Arabidopsis thaliana: one gene and its partners. The protein of the gene in region 1 interacts with the protein of each later gene in a pairwise test. Each region holds a gene or a part of one and is shown in the gene's direction. Other genes may lie near its edges. The genes, in order: AT5G01750, AT4G15730 and ISA1.

Region 1 (4,009 bases):
GGTAAATACTAAAACCCTTTTGGTTGCCCCTTTTTTAGTTATTAATGAGGTTAATAGAGATAATCAAACGATATGATAAATGTATAAGATTACCGAGTAAAGATGAGTAATTTAATCGATTAGTGGAGCATGCGTTCATTTTTTTAAGATTATACTTGCTCTTGCTGGTTACCACCTTGTTCGCTCTTTTACGGGCTTAAATAACATACACATATTATACGTATACACTATCAAGCGTGCGAGATAGACCAAGTTACATGTTAATCTTAATTGTTGAATCACACATTTCAGGTTCGTAAGGTCATACCGCTCCTTATCAAATGGTATTCAGTTTTATCTCTCTGATCTCCCTCTTCTTTTAATTGTCTAATAAATTAAAATTTGAATTAGAACACATTAATTGGCAATTACAAACTATTATTCTATTCAAGTGTTTTTTTTCAAACAGTTTTACAATTATAAATATGTTATCGGAACGTATGCATATATAATAAGGATATTTCAGTCGAACTAATTATTCTTTTATGTTAAATAGTTGATTATAAATATTCAGATAACTTCTCTGAAATGTATAATTTGTATTTAATCTGAAAAATACAGTGTGTAAATTACCGTTTTCGATACATATATTGTTTAGCTCAATGTCAAAATGACATTCATGTCGTGATTATTTACTTTCCAACAAAAAGAAGAGCTTAGCTTATTAGTTATCATTATATTTTAGATTTTTTTTTTGTAGATGACGATAGCTCCTTTTAGATCACTATTAGTAATCGCAATTAATTCAATTTGGAGAGAACAACACAGCAAGAGGCATGAAGAAACTCCAATTCCACCAGAGCGTTGCTTCAAAGTTCGAAGTCTCAACAAACATGTTTGGAAACACATCTCCTCTATACATAAGCAATGAGACAACAGATATGTTAGATGTATGCAAGTTTTGTTTGCTTCAAGATAAACACAAAAGCAGAATAGTTTTGATTGGAAAGTTGTTTATCTGAAAACGATTAATCGAGCGATGCTCTTATGTTGTCAGTGGGCTTAGAATATATCTCCCTAGGCCATATACTGGGCTTCACTAATGGCAACAATATTAAATAGTCAGTTGCCTCAATATCAACGAGTGTTAGGCGGGCCCTTAAATGATTTGAACATTTGATAGATTTTAACAAATGTTATTTGGGAGACCACAATTGGAGTTTTTTTTTCTTTTCAAATTTGATTTCAATTCTGTAGCAACATGGAAATTAATTAGTATGAAATCTTCGATGGTTGAAAAAAATACTAATTTGTAAATTATATGGAAAAGAATCCAAAAAAATATGATTTGACCCATACGTCGGTGTTTGTTGAGTAAAAATCTTCTTTTTTTTCCGTGTTTAAGGTAACAAAACGCGTCGTCACAGATTTGGACCGTATTAAAAACAATTGACAACCGTGTATCCTCCCTTAATTTATCAATAATGCAACATTTTGATATATTCGTCTACTTCATCAATAAGAAAAGTGTAACACGGGAAATAATTAAATAGTCTAAATTCTCTTCTGTTTTTTTTGGTTTGTTCTTAGAGGAAATCTTTATCTTGGAATCTTTAATCTATCTAGAATTAAAAGTTTATGCTCGTAGGATTGTCTACTTTTAAAAGTCAACATATTCGATACAGATATTTTGTATATTTATATAAAGTCGAAGACCCTGAAACTTATCTTCACGGCATAATAAGACCAAGAAGAAAAAGAAAACATTAATTTCAACCAAAGCAAAACAGAGAGAAAAAAATAGAGAGAGTGAATCAATTTCGGTGGAGAAAGAGAAGAATGGAGCAGCCGTACGTGTACGCATACCCGCAAGGTAGTGGCCCCTCGGGAGCTCCGACTCCACAAGCCGGAGGAGTGGTAGTGGATCCAAAGTACTGCGCTCCTTACCCTATAGATATGGCGATCGTACGGAAGATGATGTCGTTAACGGACGGCAATTTCGTGATAACGGACGTCAACGGAAACCTGCTGTTCAAGGTGAAGGAACCGGTGTTTGGTCTCCACGACAAGAGGGTCTTGCTGGATGGTTCTGGTACTCCGGTCGTCACTTTGAGAGAAAAGGTCAACAATTTATAGTATTAGTTAAAAAAACAGAGCCGCAAGCACACACACAACATGTATACAAGTATAGATGGGATTTTATTAATAAAGTAGTAATAGTTTGTTTGGTGTCGCGTGATGATTGCAGATGGTGAGCATGCATGACAGGTGGCAAGTGTTTAGAGGAGGGAGTACGGATCAGCGTGATCTGCTGTACACGGTGAAAAGATCGTCGATGCTTCAGCTAAAGACCAAACTCGATGTGTTTTTGGGACACAACAAAGATGAGAAGAGATGTGATTTCAGAGTCAAAGGGAGTTGGCTCGAGCGTTCTTGTGTTGTTTACGCCGGCGAATCTGACGCCATTGTTGCCCAAGTATACTATCTCTAACTCTCTTTCCTTCATTAAGGGCCCATCCATCTCATTTATCAATGCATCTCACATGTCTCTACACAGTACACATTAATTAGCAATGTTTTAATCTGGTTTTGGTCTACTGCTTTAGAATCCGGTTTTGATGGACAGGTTTAGGTAGTTTTTGATTTCGGTTTAGATCAAAAGATACATTTATCTTAGCCCATATATTGTATGTTTGATGAAATTGGGAAGATTTGAGAAATAAAACGGTTTACTAATAGAAAAGGAAAATGGTATGGTGAATGATGGACAGATGCACAGGAAGCACACGGTGCAGAGCGTATTCTTGGGAAAAGACAACTTCTCGGTGACTGTTTATCCAAACGTCGATTATGCCTTCATCGCCTCTCTCGTCGTCATTCTCGATGACGTCAACCGCGAAGACCGCGCCGCCTGAGAGAAGAAGATATCACCTTCTCTTCTTCTTAATTATCCATCCATCAATAATGTGCTATTCATCAACCGTTAAAACTTTGTGTGATCATCTCAGTTGTAAAATAATCAAATCATTGTGCCTGTCCTTGTTGTTTAATGACTACATTTATAACTGTTTTTTCATTAATATCTCCTGCCAACTGTACGTGCATATCGTTACAAAAATTTATTTTAGTGACAGACATTTCACGTACTAATTTTTTAGTATAAAAAACACTTATGAGAAATAAATCTACAATCTTTAATACATACAAAAAACGCAAAAAAAAAGAAGAAAGAAAAATCAAACACAAGCCAATCGCAAAATATTTATTGAAACGGAGCGTCGTCACTTGCAGACTTGCTAATTGCTCGCAAGAGGTTTGACCGAAGAAAAATAATCAACGTGGCAGTAATTGCTCAAGGAGTGGGACCGGGTGTTACTGAGAAGACATGGCCAAGTGTGAACATATTTTTGAACGGACGCACGAATTTGTCGGAAAGCTGATTTTTTAAAAAATATATCTCTCCTCCTCTGTGTATGTAATGTATATATATGGCGGGATAAAATTTAATTAGACTCGCCTTGTGGAATAAAGGCATTTTCGACGAGAATTTCTGTAGAGATGAGGCCTTCTTGTGCTTCTTCCTCCTCCTCCTCTGCTTCTCCTTCGTTGAGGCTATCGTCAGTGACAGTGGCGGTGGACAAAGCCACGAGCGAGCTTCTCCGCACTCCTGATTGGACCATCATCATCGCCATCTGCGATTCTCTCAATTCTAATCGCTGGTAAATAAATGATCTTGCTTTCTTATCATGATGATATCCCTATGTTGTTCTCACAATAAATACCCTGACGTTGAAATTTTGTGCAGGCAATGCAAAGATGCCATCAAAGCCGTGAAGAGAAGATTGCAGCACAAGAGTTCTAGAGTTCAATTACTCACTTTAACGGTACACTCTTTTTTTCTTTTCCTAACCAACCTGTCTTCTCTCGGTTATAACTACATGCAGCTGCTGACTCCGAATACTATCTTCGTTTCCTTATAGTTGTTGGAGGCAATGCTGAAGAACTGCGGTGACTTTGTGCATTCTCATAT
Region 2 (7,948 bases), on another chromosome or scaffold:
TAAAAAACGTGGAAGGGTATGAATGAACAATTTTATTGAGTTAGTGGCATTAGTGATAAAATTCCGACCAATTATATTCAACTGTATTTATATATAGACTAACCAATCTTTAAACTCTGATGCTTGTAGCAGAAACTTCGCACTCACATGCAGCCCTGCTATCACAAGCGACAACCGGACAAATCATTATTGGGGTTTAATTGTGGTTTCAAAAAAGTAAGGTGAAATTGGAAGAAAATAAAAAAAGTTTAGTCTATAGAAAAAACTATTTAAAGTTCAAACTTATGCATTAAAGTTTAATCAATTATAATAAAATAAATTTAGCAAAAGAAAAAAAAAAGCAAGATCAAAATCTTAGATGAAGATAGTAATAAAATATCAAAGAATTAAATTCGTAGAAAGAAAAGAGAATATGAAAGTTATATTAACTCGTAGAAGAAAAAGAGAATATGAAAATTATATTAAATTTGTAGAAGAAAAAGAGTGGTATCATGCAACCAATCTGCACAATTTGCAATCCGAAAATGGATTTGGTAACAACTTACGACTAGCCTTTTTGACATTTGTAAACGTAGTTAATGCACTTAACTACAATACAACCATTTTAAACTAGAATTTTTTTTTTATGATTACACATATATAGAACTGTTTATCCAATTTAGACATGGTCTACAACGAGCTAGAGTTTTATTAGAAACAATTGTATATGTGATATTGACTATAAGTATATGAGTTAAAGATCGGATTAGTGCCCTACTACTGTATATATAGAACTAGATTTTGACTCGCGGTATACCGCGGGGCTAGGTTTTTAATAAAATTTGTTATATAAAATGTATATGTAAATATTTGTTTTATTAATATTGTTTGCTTTGTTTAGTGTTTAAGATAATGTATATATAGATTTTAGTTGTTATATCTAGGATTTCATCCGTAGTATATCGTTTCGTATTATTATCGATCAAAACTCGTCATACCATCTAATCCTGCACATTGAAATTAAACATATCTAATAGATTTCACTTGTGGTATACCGTCTCGTAATACTATCGACCAAACCCGTCCTACCACTAACCCCGTTCAGTAAAATTAGACATTATTTTGTTATTTTTGTTTTAATAATACTTTAGTTTAAAAAATATTAATTCAAATCAATTTAAAAGTTTTTTTTCAAATGGTTATTTAATTATTATAAAGTTTATATATTATAATATTATAAACACGTCCTACCATCTATTCCTACTATCTAATCATGTTCGGTGAAATTATTTTTCTATTTTTTTAATAATATTTTTATTAAAAGATTTATAATTTAAATCAATTTAAAGTTTTCTTTCAAATGGTTATTTAATTTTTAAATATTTTAACCATTTTGGCAAAAATAATTAGGCCATGAAATAAAAGCATATTCTTTTGAATAAGATTTGCTTTGATTTGGTAGTTAATTTTTGCATTTAATAAGTCAGTGGCAGCCATTGTAAATAAGTTCCAATTGCAGGATTTATTTCATAAAATGACTACAAAAATGTATATATAGATTAGATAGTGTTTAGAGTAATACATATAACAAGTTATATTTTATTAAATACATAAATATATACATAATAATTAAAGTGTGGTATCATGCAACCTATTTAGCGAACTTAGGAACAAAATCCACAATTCGTTATTGTCATGAATTCGTATCTCTCATTTCTAAACTGTTAAGCAATATCCGATAAAATCTAAGAAATATAAGGGGCAAAATGTAAATTATTTCTCAAGCATTAATAAATGAGAGATACGAATTATAGAAAAATTAAAGTTGTTTATAATTAATTAATTAATGATTAAACCATAAACGAAAGGAACCCTCCAAAACTAAACACTCTTCAACACATAGCGTCTTGTCTGCAAAAAAAATCGGAGACGCAAAACCAACTTGCCGCCGAATCTTCCTTAAACCCTCAACGCTGCTCTTCGCCGCCGTTGAGACGATCACAGTGATCGAATCTTCCTTTTCAACTTTCTCGTCTTTTGATCAAACGAGTTTGGTTGAGTTTTTGATAAACGTGATTAAGCGATTAATTTCGCGTTTTAACAACAATCTAGATTGTCCTTTGGAGATTGAACAAATTTAGGGTTTTTGGGGATAATCTAAGTGTTTATGATTTGAAACTTTGTGTGTTTTGAGATTGTTTTGGGCAATGTTGGATTTTCGAGACGGTTTGGTGGCGGCAGAGTTAGTGAGTGTTGGGGTTTAGGAAGTAGTAGTAGTTATTAGGGTTTGGAATTGGGTTATGTTTAGGGTTTTACTAGTTTAGAAGATGGGAGAGGATTATGAGCTTGAAGAAGGAGAGATGAATTGTTCTTCTGATGAAGCTGTTGTTGATCTTGACGTTGATCTCTCTTACATTGTGAGTCTCTCTTGTTTGTGATTTTTTTTCTCATTATTAAATGATCTTTTTTGTGTGGTGTTATGTGAAGCCGTTGTTGATCTTTGTGTGATGCTTAATTTCTGATTATGTTTTGGAAGTGTTAAGATCATATGAATAGTACAGTACTCTGTGTTTATAATGCCAATGATGATTAAGTTTTGTGCATCTTAGTTTAGTTGGAGGAGATATACCTTTAATAAGATATTTCAATTGCTATGAATCTTGCTTGTTTCTACTGAGTTTTGAGTTTTAAACAGAGAACTATGTGTCTGTCTTTTGTAGCATATGAAATCTCAATTTTATGTATCTCAATAAAGAATATATAGTGTGGATACTCATTTTTTCTCTGTTTTTGTATCTTTGTGTGTCGAAGTCTTTTTCTTTGCCTGGTGGTTTTATTATATATGTGCTCAAGTTTTGTTGCTTTGTGTATCTAAGGACAAGAAGGTACAGAATGTACTTGGCCACTTGCAAAAAGGTTTCGGAGAGGAAGCCCGGGACCGGTTTGGTAAGTAATATTAAATTGGTGTTAGTGAGATATTTGTTTTGAAATGAAATGTCGTTGTTGAATGATATGGTTGGTCAGGTCCGGAGATCTTTGACTATGGATCATTTTTGCCCACTTACAAACGTTTGCCGGCTGTACCATCATGTCAAAGGAGTTCTCTAGGGAATCATGCTGTACAAAGAATTTCCAACAGTTTACCCGGGAAGGTATGAGAGAAACAATTCTCAATTCCATGTGAGGATAAAAGGAAAATATGGTAGTGAAACTACCTTGTTGTTTTTGTTTGAAGGAATCTGGACCTTTTAGTGATTTTTCTTCCTCAGTGTTTTAAGTAGTTTAATTATGAGTACTTATGAATTATTGTTTGCGCAGAATGTGGTTCAGAAGTTTCAGTCACCCCCTGCTACATCTTGTAAACTAGTAAGAAATCAGGATCCTCAGAACTATCAAACTTCAGGATCTCTTTTGGCTCAAGCTCCAGGAAAAGTTCCCATAAATAAAGGAAATGCAAGAACACCAGCCAATGATTTGCCTCATAATAAGCCGATCAGAGTTCGGATCAAAATGGGTTCTGAAATCTTGTCCCAAAGTGTCGCGATGGTTTGCAAGGATCTTGGTCTCGATGGTTCTCCAAATTCACCACCCCGAATCAGCCAGGATGATAGTAGCAGAATGCTACCGCATACATCTCTAGGGAAGACAAGTGAATCTCCTTCCCGCATTCTTCAGGTATATCATATTTCACATTCTTTCGCTTATACCTTTTTTTGTGTGTGGATTAATTCGTTTGACTTGATGCCACCTTACTTTTAACTTCATGAAACAGGAAATGACTGCCATTTCTGTTCCAGAGGATCTACTGATGTCGCCTCTTCCTGATAGTCTGCTCCTAGTGAAGGATAAGAAGAAGCAATATACTTTATTAGACAATCAACCTATGATTAAGACAGGAAAGAAATCTTCTATTCAGATACAGAACAAGTTCTCGGATGTTTTATGTTGTGAGAAAACTCCAATTGGAAGGAGAAGGAAAGAGGTAGACTGTTTTCATGCCACCACTTGGAATGAGACGAAGAAGCATAAAGTTTTATCCACTGGTCAGCTAGCCAGGGATAACTCAGCTTGTGGTTTAGGTGGGGCAAGTCTTACTACTGATGGGTTTACAACAAAAAGTAACTTGCAGGAAGGTTGTAGAAAAGATGGTGAAAGTGATCCCAGAGTCGCAAATAAAATAAAGTTTGTTGGGTTGCATGCTGTGAAAGAGAAAAAAACATGTCCGACAAAGTTGCAACAGAACCGTAGCAAATATCGTATTGGTGATAAAGTTTTATCAAAGATGCCTTTGAAGGATGCCGCATATATAGGTCACAATAGCATGGACACTGGGTTTGATTTTGCGGTTGCACCTTCTTCCACCAGTGTTGACCTAGATTATTGGGCCCAATGTGAGAGTTGTGAGAAATGGCGGCTACTGCCCTATGACCTGAATACTGAGAAGCTGCCTGATAAGTGGTTGTGTAGCATGCAAACCTGGCTGTAAGTATCTGATTATTTCATATCACCTCGTTTTCTAACATATGTCTTTTCAAGTATTTGTATCTTGTGCTCTTTCCTTGATTCAAGCACTAGCCCTTTTTAGTTGCTATTATAGTTAGTTTGAAATAAGTTTCGTAGTTCGTTATAGGAGAAATCTTTTCGACCATGTGAAGGTCTTGTTCCCTAGAATGGCTGGGTCAAGCGTTAAAGTTATAAAATTGTATTGACAACGCTTCTACTTACTTTCTGGATTTGGTCCTTCAACTTTGTGCAAAACCTCAGGTTATCATATTATCATATCTCCTTATCGTCTCCCTAAAATTCTCTTGTAGGCCTGGAATGAACCACTGTGGCGTCAGCGAGGAAGAGACTACAAACGCAATTAAATCCTTTCATGCTAGTGAGGGTCATGGTCCTGACACTGGTGTTAAACTCCTCTCTGATGTTCGTAATGCTGATAAAATCTACCAACCTTTAACTTCTGGTTCATTGCCTAATCCAATTGAAAAGAAGTCTAACGTAGAAGACTTATCGCAAGGAGTTTCAAGCAACATCCTTGTTGATGCTGCAAAGCCTATGAGAAGTAACCCACATATTTTCAAGAATAAAAACATGAAGCTGCCAGGAGAAACACCTACTGCTACTCAGATATCTGCAGACCTTTCGCACGATTTTTTTCAGGATAAGATTGACCAGAAAGCAAAGAGGAGAGCAGCAGGTCAGTCTTGCCATCTGACAGCTAACTAGTGTACATTTTCGCCGCACTTGGGCTTCTTTTATCAAAACAACTTGTTATTATTGTAGGTGCTGGTTGTCAGATAAAGGTCAAGAAGAAAAAGGAGGCTGACAAAGAAGAAAGTGATGGTTCCAAGCATATCAAGACTGGTGATGGTAACAAACTTGCCAGAGTTATTAAAGCAGAAGAAATACATTGGAATCAAGATCCTAAATGGACTCCAGCAGAGAGAAAAAGAAAACGTCATGACAATGATTTTTGCACTTTGAATGTAGAGCGAGACCCAAAGAAAAGATTACTCGTATCTAAAAAGAAACCTGACCACAAACCTCAACTGATAACTGCTAGTGGTTCCTTGTGTACAAAAGCCCAGGGAAATATCAATAGTACTGTGAGGAAAATAAGGTTGATGGGTTACAAGCAGGGTAAGGATGGGAAAAATTCAAAATTGTTTGCAGATGGTGAGGAAAACGAGCCCTCAATGGAAAAGGCGGTAACAACTAAGATTTCAGTCCATGAATCTAAAGCAAACCAAAGAAATGAATTGTTTCAGGCTGATTGCTTTCAAGAACACCTGAATGGTGATGCCTCATGTAGATATTTCTCTGGTGGAAGTGGGCAGATTTCTGGGATAGAAACATCAAACTCGTCGAAGGTTTTAGGATCACATAAAAGTGGACGAATGTATGTGGAAGAAGTAAAAGCATCCCCTGTGGAATCAGTTTCCTCTTCCCCTGCAAGGTCTTCATGCCCCACGAATGATATACTTCAAGAGGCTGAAAAGCTGAGAAAGCTTGCTGACTGTTTCAAGGTCAGATTTTTATGCCACCTCTAATGTAGTCTGAAGCTTCAAGTTTCATCTGCTAGAAATAAACTAAAGAAACAAATGATGGAACAGTAATATGAATCACTGCTGTCTTTCTTCTGCTAGTTTTGTGTTGGCTATTAATTTTTGGTTGTCTTTCTATCTCAATGAACTCAGAGCTCTGGATTTGAATATGAATACAAGGAGATCAACTTTAAAGCGGCTCTGAGGTTTCTCCTTGGAGCTTCAGTTTTAGAAATGTGCAGTACAGATAATGTGGAAGTGGGGAAGATGAGCCATATTGAGGCTTACCATACTGCTGCAAAACTTTCAGAGTAAGTGAATGCTTGTGATAGCTCATTTCCCATTTCCTTATGACTGAGGAAACTTCTCAGGAATCCGGTGTCTTTCGACTTTAGGTGTTGGTATTTGACAGAATGCTGTTGATTCGCTTATGATTTTGTGCTCATTGAACACTCTGCTTGTTTTTCTCAGAAGTTGTGCCCATCAATATGAAACAAGCCAAGAAATGGCTGCAGCTACTTTGGCTTATAAATGCACAGAAGTGGCTTGCATGAGATTAGTGTATGGCAGAAGTCTAGGTCTGAGTGGAGAATGGAATGAATTGCAAAAAATGGTACAGATGACTCCTCAAGGTACTATTGTATATTTCATCTATGATCATATCAGTTAGTGAACGTTTTTTTCCCGGAAATTTATTTTCAATATGGTCAAGTCAGAATTGTAGTAGTTATCATTGTCTAAAATAGTCCTCAGTTCTTTTGCTCGCGTCAAAATTCTCTCAGAAGATATTTACCTCAGCAGTAGTCAACGTATACCTATTATTTTGGCTTAGTATGTCCACCTTTTCATAGTTTACAGATTTTTTATACTTTATAGGTTTGAAGTATTTTCAGGCAAAACTTATGTTGGAAGTTCCTCAATATCTGGACAAAATTTAGAGAAACATATGCTTGGGATCTGTTTATACGGACAATTTATTTACTGCTGTCCGTTTCAGTAAAGTCACATATTGTTCATTTGAATTGTTACCTCAGGTGAATCACCGTCATCATCTGCATCTGATGTCGATAGTTTCAATCATCAAGGGGTGATTAAGAAGTCTGCTAAAACCAGAAGAGGTCTTTCCCATGTTGCCGGAAACCTTCTCCCTGTTGCTAGAAGCCAACTAAATTTTGTTCCGCTATTGGACTTTGTAAGTTATCCCACCTTCATCAATTATGGCATGATACATTTGGAGTATTTGAAAAAGCGAACTGGGTTGTCTCTTACCTATCATATTTGAGTTTTGAAATCTCAACTAAGATCCTCCTATTGCCTAAACTGTGGAGGTCTTTGTTATCTATCTTCCTGTGCCAAACAAAGCTGATATTCTATATTTATCTAATACAGACAGGGAGCATGAATCTGGCAATGGAGGCCTCAGCAAAATCCCAAAATGCTTTTAAAGCCGTCACTGACACCTCAGAAGAAAGAAAGCATGGAGACTGTATCTCTGCTATCAAAAAAGTTGTCGATTTTAGTTTCCATGATGTTGAAGCGCTTATAAAGATGATTGAGGTTGCCATGGATGCTCTAAGTTCATCAAGATTCGGTGGCCCAAAGTGTTGACTCTATTTTGTATATAGACCCTGGTCCTATAAAGAATAGAATAGTGTTTCATGAACTTCCATAGAAAAATCTTAGTAAGTAGCATAGATTAGGAAAGGAAGACTTGGAGAGAGGACACTAGATAAGGTCTAAGTTTGCTATTTGCAGTAACTCTCAGGGTCCTGTTTCAGGTCTTTCTTCTTTTTGGTGTCTGGGTATTCAATATTAACTAAAGCATATTTATAGAAGAGTAGGAGGATTCTTAGATATAGTCATTTAAAAGATCGGTTAGTGATAAGATTTCTGACAAGACACTGCTCTAATCCTGTTTCAGT
Region 3 (7,994 bases), on another chromosome or scaffold:
CAGTAACCGAAACTCTCATCGAGTCTTTGAGCCTCGACGATTGCAATATTCCGGTTCTCACAGCTTTGTAACATGGTTGATAAAGCAATAAGAAGTGTTATCATCAAAACTCCAAATGTTACTAGAGAAGCTATGAAGATGGAAGCTGCTAAAGATGTCATGTAACATCCAGATTCTATCGAATACCGACTCCCCAATTCTGCAAGATAAACAAGAAGATTTATCAAATTCAAGAAAATCATTGCAATAAATCAAACTAAACACAGATGGTAGAAGATAATGAATATATTAGTACATACCGGAATTGCCTCGGCTGGATAGACCGGAGAGCTCCCTCTCCATCGGATGCGTATAAGCCGACATTTTCACCTTCTTGTCTAATCAAACACTTACGATGATCATAAAAACATCATCTATAGTTTTAGAAGACAAAAGAGTGACTACTAAGAAAGAAAAAAAAAAGTTCCAAAATATTGAAGATATTATGGATATTGTTTTGATATTTTCCATACCTTGTAGAAGCTTCAAAACCAAAACGAATCTTTATTTTGATCAAGATCCGAAAAAAAATCCAAAGGTTCAAAATCTGCCTCTTTGGTCACAAGAAAACAGAGAACATATAATACATTTACACGTGACTTTTTTTTTTTGTGTGTCATCAGATCCAAAGTTGATATGCCTCAGCTTATCTTCTTTACTCGATCAAATAAACTTCTCTTCTCTTCAATTTTTTTTTAAAAAATCTTACACTAGTTTATTTTATTTTCCAAATTTGGCGGAGACATAAGAAAAAGGAATCAGACCAAACTTTTCTTTATTTAGCTGCTGATAGATCGTTTCATCATTCCTTTACTCGATTATACAATTATCAAATATATATTGATTAGTCAACACAAAAGTGAATTATTGAATTTTATGTTGTTGGACAAAGTAATTTTAACATTCTAGTTACAAGTAAACTTGCAAGATGGATCTATATATAGATGGAAAGATTTGTGATGTGAAAAACATCTACTCGTATCGTATGTTATAACAACTCATACGGTTGAAAATCGTGTACAGTAAAACCTCTATAAATTAAAAATGTTGGGACTGCTAAATTTTATTAGTTTAGAAAGATATTAATTTATGTATTATACTTTTAGTATATTGAACCATAATTTGTACGTATTTGACTCTTATGCATTTACGACAACAATTTTTTAAACCCTATATATGTTAACAAGTAAATAAGTCATTATCATTAGGGGTTTAAATATCTGAACTTGAAGAATTTGTAAAACGGTTCTCCGCGTCATCAGTATGTATAATATGGCTGGCCACTCCTTAGACCGAAGAGCTCGTTGTATAATATGTTTTATTTTAGATTTTCTCAAATCTCGCGGAGACATGGAAAATGAAATTTATTAAATGGATGGAGCAATTTGGTAATTTAATCAGTATGTCTGTATGTGTTTTGTAATGTTATAGTTTAAGATATGTATCACAATCATCTATATGTGACGTATACGACAAGAATTTAACTGTACGTACGATACCCTTATAATTATTATTCACTTAGATTTTTGTTTGTACTTTAGAAGAATCTGAAGAAGGGTCCCGGCGTCACCATGCATGTATGGTCACTCCTTAAACCAGAGATTCGTAAATAATTATATTGTAGTTTCCATTGTTATTGTCGATTTATTTATGGTCCCCAATGTTCTCTTGGAGTCGAGGGACCATACATTTAGCTTCAAAAATCTTACGATTAGGAAACGTGTGACAATAACATTTGTTTTGTTAGCTACAATTCCTAATTTCCTATGATTTGTACAATAATTTAAAGATTAACACAGCTTGTGGGATGCACATGGAATTTGTCTAATAGAATTTAGTTCCATCATATTTGCATACAAACAATTGTCACCTATTAATACTTTCATTATTACTTTCGATGAAACATTGTTATTGGGTATATAAATTAAGGCCCGGCCCTAAAGCCCATTTATTAGCCACGTGCAGTAACTTATTATTTTTTTCACTTATCAATAGTAAAAAAAAAAGATCAAAATGATCACTCTTTTGAGTGTGAGTGAACACACTTCGTCGTCTCTCTTTCACTACTTTTGAGAAGCTCTCTTCTTCGAGCTTCCATGGATGCAATCAAATGCAGTTCCAGTTTCCTCCATCACACCAAGCTCAACACTCTCTTCTCTAATCACACCTTTCCTAAAATCTCCGCTCCCAATTTCAAGCCCCTCTTCCGTCCGATTTCGATTTCCGCAAAGGACAGAAGAAGCAACGAAGCTGAAAATATCGCCGTAGTAGAGAAACCTCTTAAATCAGATAGATTTTTTATCTCCGATGGACTTCCTTCTCCATTCGGACCCACCGTCAGAGACGACGGCGTCAATTTCTCTGTTTACTCTACAAACTCCGTTTCCGCTACCATCTGCTTGATTTCTCTCTCCGATCTCCGTCAGGTTCAATCTTCAAAGCAACTGTTTTTGGGTTTCACTGACATTTTCATGAAACCCCTTTTTCAAATTTGGGTTTAAATTTCACGTTGCAGAACAAAGTGACGGAGGAGATTCAGCTTGATCCATCAAGGAATAGAACTGGCCATGTTTGGCATGTGTTCTTGAGAGGAGATTTCAAAGATATGTTGTATGGTTATAGATTTGATGGCAAGTTTTCTCCTGAAGAAGGTCATTATTATGATTCCTCCAACATTTTATTGGATCCTTACGCAAAGGTAGTTGAAAAATTGAAGCTTTTTTCTAGCAGCTGAACTACAGTCTCATAGATTATCTCTTTTGTTACTTTGGTTTGGTAGGCAATTATAAGCAGAGATGAGTTTGGAGTTTTGGGACCTGATGATAATTGTTGGCCTCAAATGGCGTGTATGGTACCCACTCGTGAGGAAGAGGTACCAATGATATTTATAAAGCTCTAGTAATAGCTATTGGAGGATATAAAGATATTCTTTAGCGAGTGATTTTATTGACCTTTGTTACTCTTCAGTTTGATTGGGAAGGGGATATGCATCTGAAGCTTCCACAGAAAGATCTTGTTATATATGAAATGCATGTGCGAGGTTTTACAAGGCATGAGTCTAGTAAAATTGAATTCCCTGGCACATACCAGGGTGTTGCAGAGAAGCTTGACCATTTGAAGGTACTTGCTCTGAAATATATACAGTTGAGAAAACTTTGAACTGTCATTTTGGAACAAGCTTACTAAGTAGTCTCTAGCTGAAATTTTGAGATGCTGCTAACTATATCTGTAGATTTTTTGTTAAAATATTCATTTGTTCAGCACTGAATTCGTCCTTTCTGATCATTGTGGGACAATAATATTCCCAGTTTATCAACTTCCATTGTGGTATGGCGTACATAATGCTATCACAAAGTCATCATGCTTTTTAAAAAGACAAAAAATAATCAAAATCGTGTTTTGGAGTGGCTATCAGTTGCCCTCATTTTGAAAAGATTCTGCCTTGTTTAATTCAGACGAGTTTTGGTGATTTAGGCCATTTCCATTTTGTTGTTCAAAATGAGCAGAGAGTTTATAGTTTTTTTTGTCCCTTTTAATAGTGTGTGATTTGCTATAGCTCTTATCTAATTGACAGTAATATTTGTTTACATATTGACAGGAGCTTGGGATAAATTGTATAGAATTAATGCCATGTCACGAGTTTAATGAGCTGGAGTATTACAGCTACAATACGATTTTGGGAGACCACAGGTATGACATTTGACCAGATGCCTTTGAAATGATAATACAACAGATTTTGCTATGTAAGTTTTTTTTAGTGACATTTGGGATGAGCAAACTAAATAGTAGAACCACTTGTCGTTAACGTCTGCGAGTGTTAGCATGTATCAATTAATCTCAAGAAATTCTTCATCTAGGATTGTTGTTTTCTCTTCCGATTAATGAGGGGTGAAACAACCTACAGATGATATCACATATCTGGAATAGATAGATTGAGCAAGCACTCTTACATGAAACCATACCATTTTATAATTTTCACGAATTGAGTTAAATGTTGCATATAGCATGTCTAATCTGGCTATCTTGCTATTTCAGGGTAAATTTTTGGGGTTACTCTACCATTGGGTTCTTCTCGCCCATGATCAGATACGCATCAGCAAGCTCTAACAATTTTGCTGGACGAGCCATAAATGAATTCAAAATTCTTGTTAAGGAGGCACATAAACGAGGAATTGAGGTATCAACTAGTTTCCAAATAGCGAAATATTTGTTGTTAGGTTTACGGATGCAGTTCTTGACAGATTTTAAGCAGGTAATCATGGATGTCGTCTTGAACCACACAGCCGAAGGGAATGAAAAAGGGCCCATTTTCTCATTTAGAGGAGTTGATAACAGTGTCTATTACATGCTTGCTCCAAAGGTAATGCTCATCAAGCAGTAATGTGTTTCTTTTCGCGAGTTTCACTGCTTAGAGAACAAGAGACAAGCAAAAGTTCTGTGGTGTATGAATCTGAAATATAGGACTCATTTTCTTTTGCCAATTAAAATATACAGTACACTCAATAAACTAAGTCACTTTGCTGATTGGAAATTCTGGTAGTTGGTCGGTCCAGTAACTTATTATGCGTCAGAAACCTGTAGGAGCCTTCTTTTGGAATTTCTGCATGGCCTTTACATAACTTCTCTAGGACTAGCAAAGTAGAATACATTCCCAACAATGATGATATAAAAGTCAACACCCATAATGCTTTTGGTTTTCTAGTTTTGTAGTCTCCTACTGATGATTCTGATATCATTCTTTATTAATCAATCTATGCATATTTTGTAATTTAACAGGGCGAGTTCTATAATTATTCAGGCTGTGGTAATACATTCAACTGCAATCATCCTGTGGTGCGTCAATTCATATTGGATTGCCTGAGGTAGATCCCAAAATAGGGTAGACGTATTGCTTGGCTGTTTGTCAAATTAAGTCTGTTATATTCATTGTTGTACTTGCAAACTCTCATTGTCTCGTCCTACTCGTTAATATTCCTCTGGTTTTTATGTCTAATGTCTAAGCCTTATTTGTGACATAAATATATTTAGGCAATTTGTTATGATTACATCTAGAATACACTGTAATCAACATATTCTTGGATACTTTATTTTGAGTTTACCTGCTTTCTGACTACTAAAGAAACCTTACACTAGGTTGATTTCTGAAATTAATGTATTTCATGATATTCTCCTCAGTTAACTCTTCCTAAGCATGTGGATATCTCTCTCTCTCTTTAAACAGATATTGGGTTACAGAAATGCATGTTGACGGCTTCCGCTTTGATCTTGGTTCAATCATGTCAAGGAGCAGCAGGTGCAAATGTTCTAGAGTACGTCAAATGAGTGCTTGTTTGGTCCATGTGTTTCTGGAATATTTATTGTTCTATTCTTGTTAGCCTTTGGGATGCAGCCAATGTTTACGGGGCTGATGTAGAAGGTGACTTGCTCACAACTGGTACTCCTATTAGCTGCCCTCCAGTAATTGACATGATAAGTAATGATCCAATACTCCGCGGTGTTAAGGTGATCAACTAGTTCCCTTGATATGTCCCCTTCAGATAGCGTCGGTTTTCCTTGTTTAGAGTGGAGAAATGCTGACTACATGACTACTATTTTATCTCAATCCATGACCAAACTTTAAAATCTCCCAATGTGATTAGGCACCAAAAGGTTAATTAGCGTACAACATGTTTTATTTCTTCTTGTTGTACTTCAGCATAGAGCTTCCTTTGTGTTTTTTTTTCAAGTCATGTCATAATCTCCAGATCTAAAGATGATTGTTAAAAAGTTGTCATTTTCTTGATGGAAATACATTCACCAATGTAAGATCTTTGACGATGAGATATTTATGTGTTTATGTTGCTTCTTTGCAAACAGCTAATAGCTGAAGCATGGGATGCGGGTGGGCTGTACCAAGTTGGCATGTTTCCACACTGGGGTATTTGGTCTGAGTGGAATGGAAAGGTCAGTTAATGTATTACGAGGATAAAATGCTTCTTTCAATTGTTTGAGACATGAGATATGGAAGAGTAAGTGTCACAGTGTATAAGGGTTTCATGCCAAATGTGATGTAATTATTAGTGGTTATTCATCTTTCTGCTGACCCTTAGAATATGCTCTAATCAATTGAAAATGGGACAGCCTATGTGATCTGCCTGTACTAGCTAACTGAAGTGTATAGTAACCTACTAGCCTGTATTAGCAATGAACATGGAAGTCTTAAACTTACTATCCAATAGACAACACATGAGACAACAATAATGAATATTCAGTTCTCGTGGTAGTTCCCATTAGTGTGTGCACTGTGCTGGATATCTATCTTCGTTGTGAATTTGATATGGTATAGTAACATTTTTGTCCATTTCAGTTTCGGGATGTTGTGAGACAGTTCATAAAAGGCACCGATGGCTTTTCTGGTGCTTTTGCTGAATGTCTCTGTGGAAGCCCAAATCTGTACCAGGTAAATTTAACTCCTATTATACTGGGGTATCTGGATATATAACTAATCTTTATGGTGTTCTCTTGGTTGTTTTGTCTGTGAAGCTTCATATTTTGGTTGTATATCTTATCGATATCTGATTGTGTCTGTGCATCAGGGAGGTAGGAAACCTTGGCACAGCATCAATTTTATATGTGCGCATGATGGTTTTACGTTGGCAGATTTAGTAACTTACAACAATAAGAATAACTTGGCAAATGGAGAAGAGAATAATGATGGAGAGAATCACAATTACAGCTGGAACTGTGGAGAGGTAAGATATTAATCTTTGTTTTCTCTTTCATCAGCTATGTGAATTCAGTCTCATATTATATCATACGACTTTTTGTAGAATGTTTATAAGCTGAAATGAAATGGCTATTGCACTTTTACCTAAACTAAAAAGGCTTCATTTGATTGGGCTGCAGGAGGGAGACTTTGCGAGTATCTCGGTGAAGAGACTAAGGAAACGACAGATGCGGAATTTCTTTGTTTCCCTCATGGTTTCCCAAGTAAAGCTAACCATTTGTTGCTTCTTTAATTTTAATTCCTGCTCAAAGCTCGTTTCACTGATGTTATGCACATTGAACTATGATACTGGAGTAGAGGGCATGAGTTCAAAATATAAATTAATAAGCCACAAGAGAATCTAAATCCACTAGCAATTAAGTACTATGCACTGTTTGTTTGCCTTTGCAACATGTTAAGTTGTGACTGGTAATGGCATGGTGTCATGCAAAGAATATGTATTAAGGGTACTGCTTTGTCAGATTGTGATGCTCCGGTTTTCATTGAAATTAGTGTATTGCTTAACCTTTTCCTTTTCTGTCTTTCTGAACTATTAATCACCAGGGTGTCCCAATGATTTACATGGGAGATGAATATGGCCATACTAAAGGGGGAAACAACAACACGTATTGCCATGACAACTATGTAAACCCCTTATGCTTTGCTTCCAGGGTGATTATAAGTAATTTTTTCGATCTTAGCTTTCCGACATTAACACAACTCTGATGCAGATGAACTATTTTCGGTGGGATAAAAAGGAAGAAGCACATTCTGACTTCTTCAGATTCTGCCGTATTCTTATCAAGTTTCGTGAGTATGTAATCTTCTTTCATGAGTCTATCGATCTTAATTGCTTAGTTGATCGCTTCACTTAGTCTCAAATCCAATAATTGACATGCTTCTTCCTTTTCACCTACTGCTATGTGTTTTCTTTCTTTTGCAATCCCCTGTTTCTCGGGTTTCCTCTGATCGATGGCCATTATGACTGTATTGTAGTGAATGTGAATCACTTGGCTTGAATGATTTCCCAACAGCAAAGCGTCTGCAGTGGCATGGTCTTGCTCCTGAGATCCCAAATTGGTCTGAAACAAGTCGATTTGTTGCATTTTCACTGGTACCATTTTCTCATACCCCTTCTCTTACATGGACAGTTTCCTTAGTGGGTGATATTAATCCCTTTTGTTTTTCGGTAGGTCGATTCTGTGAAGAA

The links.
Region 2: the proteins of AT5G01750 (region 1) and AT4G15730 interact in a two-hybrid assay, tested with the Arabidopsis thaliana proteins (one large-scale study listed by BioGRID).
Region 3: the proteins of AT5G01750 (region 1) and ISA1 interact in a two-hybrid assay, tested with the Arabidopsis thaliana proteins (one large-scale study listed by BioGRID).

What each region holds. Positions count from the first base shown.
Region 1 is NC_003076.8:288,216-292,224, forward strand, and holds AT5G01750 (LURP-one-like protein (DUF567)), read left to right. Parts: upstream 1-1,506; 5' UTR 1,507-1,818; coding exon 1,819-2,100; intron 2,101-2,227; coding exon 2,228-2,455; coding exon of another isoform or gene 2,456-2,470; exon of another isoform or gene 2,471-2,750; coding exon 2,751-2,894; 3' UTR 2,895-3,389; downstream 3,390-4,009. Other genes in the region: AT5G01760 (ENTH/VHS/GAT family protein), read left to right, coding at 3,538-3,698, 3,785-3,863, 3,960-4,009. UniProt on the Arabidopsis thaliana protein: Might be related to the phospholipid scramblase and tubby-like superfamily of membrane tethered transcription factors.
Region 2 is NC_003075.7:8,951,573-8,959,520, reverse strand, and holds the start of AT4G15730 (CW-type Zinc Finger), read left to right. Parts: upstream 1-1,855; 5' UTR 1,856-2,306; coding exon 2,307-2,396; intron 2,397-2,855; coding exon 2,856-2,925; intron 2,926-3,003; coding exon 3,004-3,131; intron 3,132-3,297; coding exon 3,298-3,654; intron 3,655-3,751; coding exon 3,752-4,461; intron 4,462-4,793; coding exon 4,794-5,179; intron 5,180-5,265; coding exon 5,266-6,008; intron 6,009-6,179; coding exon 6,180-6,337; intron 6,338-6,497; coding exon 6,498-6,658; intron 6,659-7,060; coding exon 7,061-7,218; intron 7,219-7,415; coding exon 7,416-7,634; 3' UTR 7,635-7,948.
Region 3 is NC_003071.7:16,663,943-16,671,936, forward strand, and holds the start of ISA1 (isoamylase 1), read left to right. Parts: upstream 1-1,908; 5' UTR 1,909-2,135; coding exon 2,136-2,465; intron 2,466-2,554; coding exon 2,555-2,737; intron 2,738-2,818; coding exon 2,819-2,911; intron 2,912-3,006; coding exon 3,007-3,159; intron 3,160-3,637; coding exon 3,638-3,729; intron 3,730-4,074; coding exon 4,075-4,216; intron 4,217-4,291; coding exon 4,292-4,399; intron 4,400-4,815; coding exon 4,816-4,901; intron 4,902-5,260; coding exon 5,261-5,332; intron 5,333-5,414; coding exon 5,415-5,541; intron 5,542-5,895; coding exon 5,896-5,982; intron 5,983-6,385; coding exon 6,386-6,478; intron 6,479-6,614; coding exon 6,615-6,770; intron 6,771-6,924; coding exon 6,925-7,008; coding exon of another isoform or gene 7,009-7,149; intron 7,150-7,252; exon of another isoform or gene 7,253-7,348; coding exon 7,349-7,429; exon of another isoform or gene 7,430-7,515; coding exon 7,516-7,598; coding exon of another isoform or gene 7,599-7,659; exon of another isoform or gene 7,660-7,780; coding exon 7,781-7,898; exon of another isoform or gene 7,899-7,977; coding exon 7,978-7,994. Other genes in the region: AT2G39920 (HAD superfamily, subfamily IIIB acid phosphatase), read right to left, coding at 1-199, 300-363. UniProt on the Arabidopsis thaliana protein: Involved in the trimming of pre-amylopectin chains. Accelerates the crystallization of nascent amylopectin molecules during starch synthesis. ISA1 and ISA2 work exclusively together as a multimeric holoenzyme.